2 linked regions of the Drosophila melanogaster genome follow. The protein of the gene in region 2 interacts with the protein of the main gene of each other region in a pairwise test. Each region holds a gene or a part of one and is shown on either strand. Other genes may lie near its edges. The genes, in order: CG42597 and Syt12.

Evidence for each region.
Region 1: the proteins of Syt12 (region 2) and CG42597 interact in a two-hybrid assay, tested with the Drosophila melanogaster proteins (one large-scale study listed by BioGRID).

Annotation. Positions count from the first base shown.
Region 1 is NT_033779.5:22,063,976-22,067,471, forward strand, and holds CG42597 (uncharacterized protein), read right to left. Parts: upstream 1,369-3,496; 5' UTR 1,286-1,368; intron 1,222-1,285; 5' UTR 1,219-1,221; coding exon 718-1,218; 3' UTR 629-717; downstream 1-628.
Region 2 is NC_004354.4:13,357,315-13,362,552, forward strand, and holds the start of Syt12 (synaptotagmin 12), read left to right. Parts: upstream 1-1,933; 5' UTR 1,934-2,123; intron 2,124-5,238.

The sequences.
Region 1 (3,496 bases), on a different chromosome or scaffold from region 2:
GTTTGAAAAACTCAACTTTTCTCTTTTATCTCAAATTTTTTGAGTTTCGTGTTGTAGGATATACAATACATTAAGTAAACATAAGTAGCGCTTTTTATTACATAATGGCCCAAGAGAGAGTCAATCGCACATGTGTTCTTCACAGAGTTCGAGCCACTTTCTATGTTAATTGTTTGGTGGCACAAATGTTACTAATTACACCCACACCTTTAGCGCAACTGCAGCTTATGTTTCTCGAATTTTCTTGCCTAAGGGATCACGGATGTCCTTTTGTATAATAACCGTAAGACATGATTTGTTCGAAATCATTTTCTCCAACGGTAATTATTTCACTCAGATTCCATTTAAGCGCGCCCAAACAGTTAAATGTCTTACAAGTTTCCGCTCCCACCCGTGACATATTTAATTGCCCTATGGCTTCGAATCGAGACATTAGAAAAACCTGTTGTTCTTCTTAAGTAAAGGTCGTATGCTAACATTTACAAAGGTGCATCGCATCCTTTTGTGAATATCGAGCTTCATTAAGCATTGGGGTGCATAGATATCAAAGACTATATTTGACTATTTCACTGTTAAAAGAACAAAGAGATGGGTACTTGAAATTAGAGATAACCAATTTTTTTTTTTTGAGCACCCTTTTAATAAAAAAGTGCACATAAACTAGAAATGGTATCCCAAATTAATAGAAGGAACCGAAAACGATGTGGGTCCTTTTGCTTATTTAAAAGATTTCTGTTTGGACGAAGGACGACTTTGTTGTGTGATGATTCTCCAAGACTGTTGTGCCATTTTCCAAACTTTGGCCGGTCGATTTGTAATGGCACCCACTATCACTAAAAAGATAACTCCCAATAAAATCGTGCCGATCTCCTGGAAATTAGTGTTTGTACGGCTGCCCAGGCCCAACCAATTGGTTATAACATTTATAAAGTTGACGAGAAGCGTTTCCATGGAAAGCCATACGCCCACCATCAAAGTTTCGCCAATAAGGATGGCGATAATGGTCTCAAGGATAAACTTTCCCCACCGCGGAATGTTACTCCAGTGCGTGGGTATTACCTCTGTGTCGCACAGCAGATCCATCACTGATAAATAGAATAACTGGCTACCAAAGACGGGGGTGTCTGCAATTATACCCGGATCTAGATGTATGAAGAGCGTTGTGTGGAGCACCATGTGCACAACGAAGGCCAATAGAACAGGCGTGGGACTGGTCATTTCCTTAGAAAGGGATATTGGTTAACTATCGGGTATTGCCTGTATATAGACGTTAGAAGTGACTTGCCTGCGCGGTCTTGTAAATATGTATAAGTTACACAAATTTAGAATGAATAAGGTAAAAAAAACAAAACACATTGTTTTGTTTGTTTCAATTTAAAATGCTTGCTGGGTCGGAGAATAATTCCTGTATTGCGTTGGCAAGTTAAATGAAAACTTTAGGGACTTCAAAGTTGAAAACCAGCTGAACTCGTGGAAGACTAAAGCAGATAAAAAATTGATTGATTTTTATGAAGTCTACCTTACCTTTACCACTACCTTTTAAAACGGATTATACCTACTCCCTTATCTTTTGTAATATGTAATGTCAATATCTTTATGCGAGAGGTTAGTACGTGCTTCATTGTTCACTTTGCCTGTAAAAATTGGCTTTGGCACTGAATGTTTAATTCTGTCAGCTAAAAAATGCATAAATATCATTTTAATTAGAAAATTAGCCGAAAATATGCAGCTCACGTTAATCGTATGACGTCGTCGTCGTTGCTATAGTTGCAACATGGAAACGAAACTGAATCGCAATTGAAAACTTAGGTGGAGGGGATACGAATCTCATGCAATATCCAGAAGATACATCCCCAACGCACTCACCTCGAATGCGGAGCACCACTTCTGGCTCCACTCCGTGCTCCTAATACCGGAAATCATTTGCATTTTACTTAAATTAGTGTTTCTTGCAAACAATTGCTGTAGAATTATTTATATAGCAGTACCATTTAATTGTGCCGCCATTTTAAATTCCAATTAGATATCCAATGGAAGTCCGGCCAAAAGCCAACATCACTAAAAAGAAATTGGAATTTTTATCAAAGCAAGGAAGTCGTAAGCTCACTTTGATGAAGTTTTGTCATTTAGCCAAATAAGAATACGCGTACTGCTCGCCAGACCCACACAAAATGGTTCGCTTTTGTGTGCGCATATTTTTTTTCTCCTGCTAACTCAGTCACCTGTCGTGGATTCTAGCTTATTACGGTTTTTTGTGCTTATTGAACAGCCGCCACCAAAAATTCCAATATCAAAACTCATATTTGCCGATGTCGAGCGAAGCAAATTGAATGAGGAACACTGAACAGCTGCGAGAATTTAACATATTTGTAATATTACAAAAACTGCCAGTTGAATATCCGGTAGTTTTAGTATTAAAAAAAAGTTCATATAAATATGATTCCTGCTGAGGCCTACCTATGATTCGCATTTTTGAATAATTCATCGAATTTACAATTAAACTTTTTATACCCGATATTCGTAGAGTAAAAGTATAAAAAAATGGTTGAGCGCTTACGGACAAGACGTAAGATCGCAAATAAACTGGAGTCTGGTGGCAAAACAGCACATGCTTTTGAGCGATTATTGGCAATTCGCACCATTAAATTGAGCAAGGGAAAATGTTCCGAAGACAGTGCAGAGCAGACGAAGTCTAGTGATGATTGCAAGGCACAAACGCGTAAGGATGTAAATATCGAGGTCAAAGAGACTTATTCCGGCGATTCCTCGCCTAACAGTGAGAGCGAGAATACAGCCCAAAACGATCCGCAAACGAACGTTGAAAGCGATGAACGCGTATCCAACCTGGAACAGCTGAGTCGAGCAGTGTTAAAACGGAACGACATAAAGAACTTACTGGGTAAACCTATTTTCGCGGAGGCTGTGATTGGATCCTTTGTGCGGCTAAATGTTGGAAAAGTCTACTCCATCTACGAAACTATTGCTCTGCATCAGGACAGTAAGGACTACCGGGTAGACGGTAAGCGTACCAATCTGATCCTGGTCTTGAGGTGCGGTTCCGAAAAGCGTTATTCACGTATAGACGTGGTTTCAAATCAGCCAATTACACAAAAGGAATTCTTGTTGTGGTTGGGAACCAATCTACGCCATCGATGCACTTCACCAACGCTTAATGACAACGCTTCCAAATTTTAACCAAGAAACATAAAAAAATAATAAACTTATAACATTTTCGAAAATTGTGGCCGCTGCGGCTTTTCTGTGGATTGTAGGCGTTATGGTGGACGCCGAGTGGGTGTGACGTTAGAGTGGGTGTGCCCAATATGTTTTTGGTATATCGATACCCGGTACTCAGCTAAAAGTATGAACGAGATATTTTAATACTTTTTTGGAACAATATGCAAAAAAGAAGATAGAATGCTATAGTCGACTTCCCCGACCATCAGATACCCATTACTCAGCTAGTGTGAATACAAACGCGAAATTTCATAATTTT
Region 2 (5,238 bases):
TTTGTGTTAGTCGCAATTTACCACAATTTGTACAATTTATTTGCTTTCCCTTTGACTCTTCAACTCGGGAATGCCCCTTTGTTTTTCTGTTTTCTGGTTTTTATTTTTATTTATTTATTTTTTTTATTTGATTCGGTTGCATTTCATTTGCAATTTAGACCTTTTCATTTTTGCGACCCCAGCACTCGTTTTTATTGTTTCATTTTAGCCTGAAATGCGGTTTTCCTTTTCCTATTTTATTTCTCTCATTTTATTTCATTTTATTGTGTTGTATTTTTTTTTTATTTTTTTTTTTTTTGATTTTCTGCCCACCAAGATTTGACCGACAATCGAGAATATCGAGCATCGTGGCTATAGCCCCCTTGTCCGGTGGAAATATCGTTCGCCAAAGTGTCGATTGAAAGCAATTTGATTTGGCGAACAATCTGCTGATTGCTGCTGTCAGAGGAATTGCGAAATAATTCTGTGAAAATTATCCAAACTGAGTGTGCTTTTAATCGTTAGTGGTTTTTTTTCTCATTTTTTTTTTCTTGTATTCAGCATTTTCATTGCGGCGTGGCTCAGCTGGGGATTGGGATATATGCCTTTCGCCTTTTTGGCATTTCGGCAGTGCCAAAAATTGCGTAATGGCCGCAAAATCAAAATGCGGCAAGTTGCAAAATGTGAAATTTATTAGGCGCTTCGGGGCAACGAGAGAGCGAGAGATGTAAAAACATTTCGCGCCGAGCATCCTTTGGGGAGTCACGCTAGATTGACCACGAATTAAAGCCATTATCGGCCGAAAGGCCGACCCTTGTGTGTGTGTATCTATCTATTATTCAGGTTTTCGAGAACTCACCCCCCTTCCCCCCCCCCGCTGCACCCCACCGCCGTTTACCCTGCAAGCCGAGAGGAGTGACGGAAGGCACCCCCATTCCCCTACCCGCACCTATCATTCTTTTAGTTTTTCATTCTCCTGCTTTCTTAATCCGCTTAAAGCGATTCGGATTCGGCAAATGTTAAAATTCCAGGATTAGGGATTGCAGTAACATTGAGTAAGGTCAAACTGTTCTATAGCTTGCGATCCACAAAAGTTACTCCATGACCAACAGGCAGGGGAAGTGGCTAACAGTTGGGGGAAAGTAGCCGAAGTATCGCTGTTACCGGAAATGGGCATGCTGTACAACGGCATTGCCAAATGGGAAAAGTATAACAGTTACGATATATGTTATATGCCTTCCAAGCCGATTTCAGCCCCTTCGTAGGACAGATATGCGCCGCACGTGTTTTTGGTGGAAGTCGTGACACGAGCGAACTGGAAAATATCGCCTAGAACATATTATTCTTATTCGTATATTCTTATTAAAATATTATGAATTCAGTACAGACTTCGAAAACATTAATATTCTAAGATGCGCTTGTTTTCTAAGTAGATTTACGCATTCTTACAATTTATTTACGTATGTAAAAACATTATATGCCCAAAGAACATATTTTTTAGTTAATTTTATACTTTTAAGCACATTTTAAACAAGAGTAATTCTTTTAAAACGTTTTGTAATAAATTTGGTAGTTAATTATTAGAAAGTACAAGTTCTTTAAGATAAATACATTTAAATAGCAGAAAATTTCGCCATAAAAAGCTCGCTTCTATCATTTATCATCACCGTTTTATGGATAAACCTAAGTCGCATTTATGGCGTTTTCCTTTAATTTTATAGAATTTAGGTGAAGTTTTGGCTGTGCCCTTAGATTATGGTGCATTTATAGCATTCGCCAATAGTTAACCTTTGTGTCAAAGCTTGTCCCAAAAGCTCGCCTTTTTTTGCCGACGCAAAGTTCGTTAGAAAGGACGAAGCTTGCATTGTTTTCAAAACGAAAGCTTAAAGCTGCAAAAACGCATATCAAAGAGAAAGTGGAGCAAAGTTGTTGCTGTGTTTTGACCAGCTTTCCCCCAGTTGGCCGCGAGTTTTGGCACCGAACGGTCTACGAAAATGAGCGAATTTTCCGCCCGCACTTCCGCTTCCTGCTCTTCCTCTTTCCGCAGCGTTACTACTTGTTATTATTTGTATTGTTAAATCAGAGTGATAAACTAATATATTTGCCATTTAAATGTGGCCAAATGATCAGCAAGGATAAGTAAGGTAAGCAATTGCTAGTTCTTCTTCTGTTCCGTTCTGTTCTGTTTTGTTTTGTTTGGTAAAAGTGCGAGTGGGAAAAATGCAGGAAAATCCAAATGAGCTGCGTTTCGGTGTGTCTGTGTGCGTTGCTCTAGATTTTTGGCCTTTTATCTTGAGCCTCCATCTCCCTGGCTCTTTCCCATTTCTGATTACTTTGACTTTCGCCCGCTTTTCACTCTCCATTTCACAGTGAAAAGTTTTTTGATTTCTGCTCTTTGTTTTTTTTTCGATGGAAATGGAAAATGGGGTAAGGGCTACAGTTGTCACTCGCCGAACGTGACTGGCGTTCACTTTTCACAGCTTGTCCCATTTCTGATGGCCCAAAAGAGGTCATCTCTGGCTAATTCGGTGCGACACTTTCAGGCCCAAAACCAAATATAGTGTATATAGCATATATATATGGTATATGCGCATACATACATATACATATATCAGTTATCGGAGGAGCCTGCGTGAGTGTGTGTGTTTGTGTGCACCTGCAGCAACAAAAGACAGAGCAAAGAGCCAGTGGAATGACCTCCCAGTAGGTTAATGAAAAGTGGCACTTCAGCTGGCTGCTGCCTCTTGGCCCGGCTAAAAGTTCTTCTAAGCCACAAGCGTTGTGCTACCAACTTGGCCCTACTAAACTAGCCAAATTTTAATGGCCAATTACGACTGAAATTACCGACAGTTTCACCAAATATAATGCTCTTTTTACTGCCTTCTGAAGGGCATTGCTTTATGAGGATTATAAAACAGATTGTGTATTTTCTGTTTTATTTTGTAAGTTTATCGCAGCTAAGAACACCTCTAATTAAAGAGCATCTCAAATCTGAAATCCTTTTAATTTGTTATTGAGTTGCAATCAAATAATATTGTTAAAAATGGAAATTAACATTGCTACAGCTGCAACTCTAGTTTCTTTTAAGCAATTACATAGTAAATCCTTTCTCGTATTACACGGTATCTAATAGGCTACCCTATGCTTTGGTAAATTAATGTAATGCTCTTTTACCCAAGGCATGTATGTATAATTAAACCGATTTAATTCCCAGCTCAATGAACTGGATACGATGCATCTCCGAGCAAATTAATGAGTACAGAGTAGAGAAAATAAATAATCAGGCTTAATGGATCTGGCAATATACAGTGCAGCTTCCCTAAAAGAAATATGCGATAATTCAGTTCCAAATCACAAAGTTAATTAACAATACTAAAAACACATTTTGGATGATTTATGGAAACTAATTTCGAAATTTTGGATAAAAATTTCCAAAAAATTTTAAAATAATTACATTTTTCAAAAATGCAATATCTAAGAATGGTTTTTTGGGTATAACTTCACTAAAAATGGTCATAGAGCAAAACGAATTAACATTTTATGCTCCCTATTACCGATACTAACCATTCCTATCACTTTTTAACGGATTTTGTAAAATTTATTTTTGGCCAAATTTTCGCATTTTTTGTAAGGGGTAACATCATCAAAATTTGCAAAAAATTGAAAAATCCTAGAATTCCCAAATTTGAATGCAAATCGATTGGGATTCAAAAAACAAACTCAACGAGGCATGACATTCCATATTTGGATTATTATTTTCAATGTTTTGATTAAAATACCGATTAGTTTTTTTACAAAAAATCAGGGAAACCATTTTTCCAAAAATTGAAATAATTAAGATCGGTTTTTTGGGTATAACTTGGTTAAAAATGCCCTCACAGCAAAAAGAATTACCATTTTATGCTCCCTATTACCAATACTAACCATCCCTATCACTTTTTAACGGATTTTGTAAAATAATTTTTTGGCCAAATTTTCGCATTTTTTGTAAGGGGTAACATCATCAAAATTTGCAAAAAATTGAAAAATCCTAGAATTCCCAAATTTGAATGCAAATCGATTGGGATTCAAAAAACAAACTCAACGAGGCATGACATTCCATATTTGGATTATTATTTTCAATGTTTTGATTAAAATACCGATTAGTTTTTTTACAAAAAATCAGGGAAACCATTTTTCCAAAAATTGAAATAATTAAGATCGGTTTTTTGGGTATAACTTGGTTAAAAATGCCCTCACAGCAAAAAGAATTACCATTTTATGCTCCCTATTACCAATACTAACCATCCCTATCACTTTTTAACGGATTTTGCAAAATTTATTTTTGGCCAAATTTTCGCATTTTTTGTAAGGGGTAACATCATTAAAATTTGCGAAAAATTGAAAAATCCTAGAATTCCCAAACTTAAATGCAAATCGATTGGGATTCAAAAAACAAACTCAACGAGGTATGACATTCCATATTTGGGCCATTATTTCCCATGTTTTGATCAAAATACCGAATATTTTATCACAAAAAATCTGGGAAACTATTTTTGGCAAAAAACTCAATTTTCAAGTTGGCTCTTTTGGCTATAACTTGACTAAAAATGGTCACAGAGCAAAAATTAGTACCATTTTATACTCCTTATAACCAATACTAACCACCCCTTTCACTTTTTAACTGATTTAGTAAAATTTATTTTTGGCCAAATTTTCGCATTTTTTGTAAGGGGTAACATCATCAAAATTTGCAAAAAATTGAAAAATCCTAGAATTCCCAAACTTGAATGCAAATCGATTGGGATTCAAAAAACAAACTCAACGAGGTATGACATTCCATATTTGGATTATTATTTTCAATGTTTTGATTAAAATACCGATTAGTTTTTTTACAAAAAATCAGGGAAACCATTTTTCCAAAAATTGAAATAATTAAGATCGGTTTTTTGGGTATAACTTGGTTAAAAATGCCCTCACAGCAAAAAGAATTACCATTTTATGCTCCCTATTACCAATACTAACCATCCCTATCACTTTTGAACGGATTTTGTAAAATAATTTTTTGGCCAAATTTTCGCATTTTTTGTAAGGGGTAACATCATCAAAATTTGCAAAAAATGGCGAAAAATTAGAATTTTCCTTTTTGAATACAGTTCGGTTAGGAATTTAATTACGAGTTCAACGAGGTATGATATTCCATATTTGGATCATTCTTTCAAAAGTTCTGAACAAAAAACTGATTTTTTTTTGCAATAAATCAAGGGAATGATTTTTGGA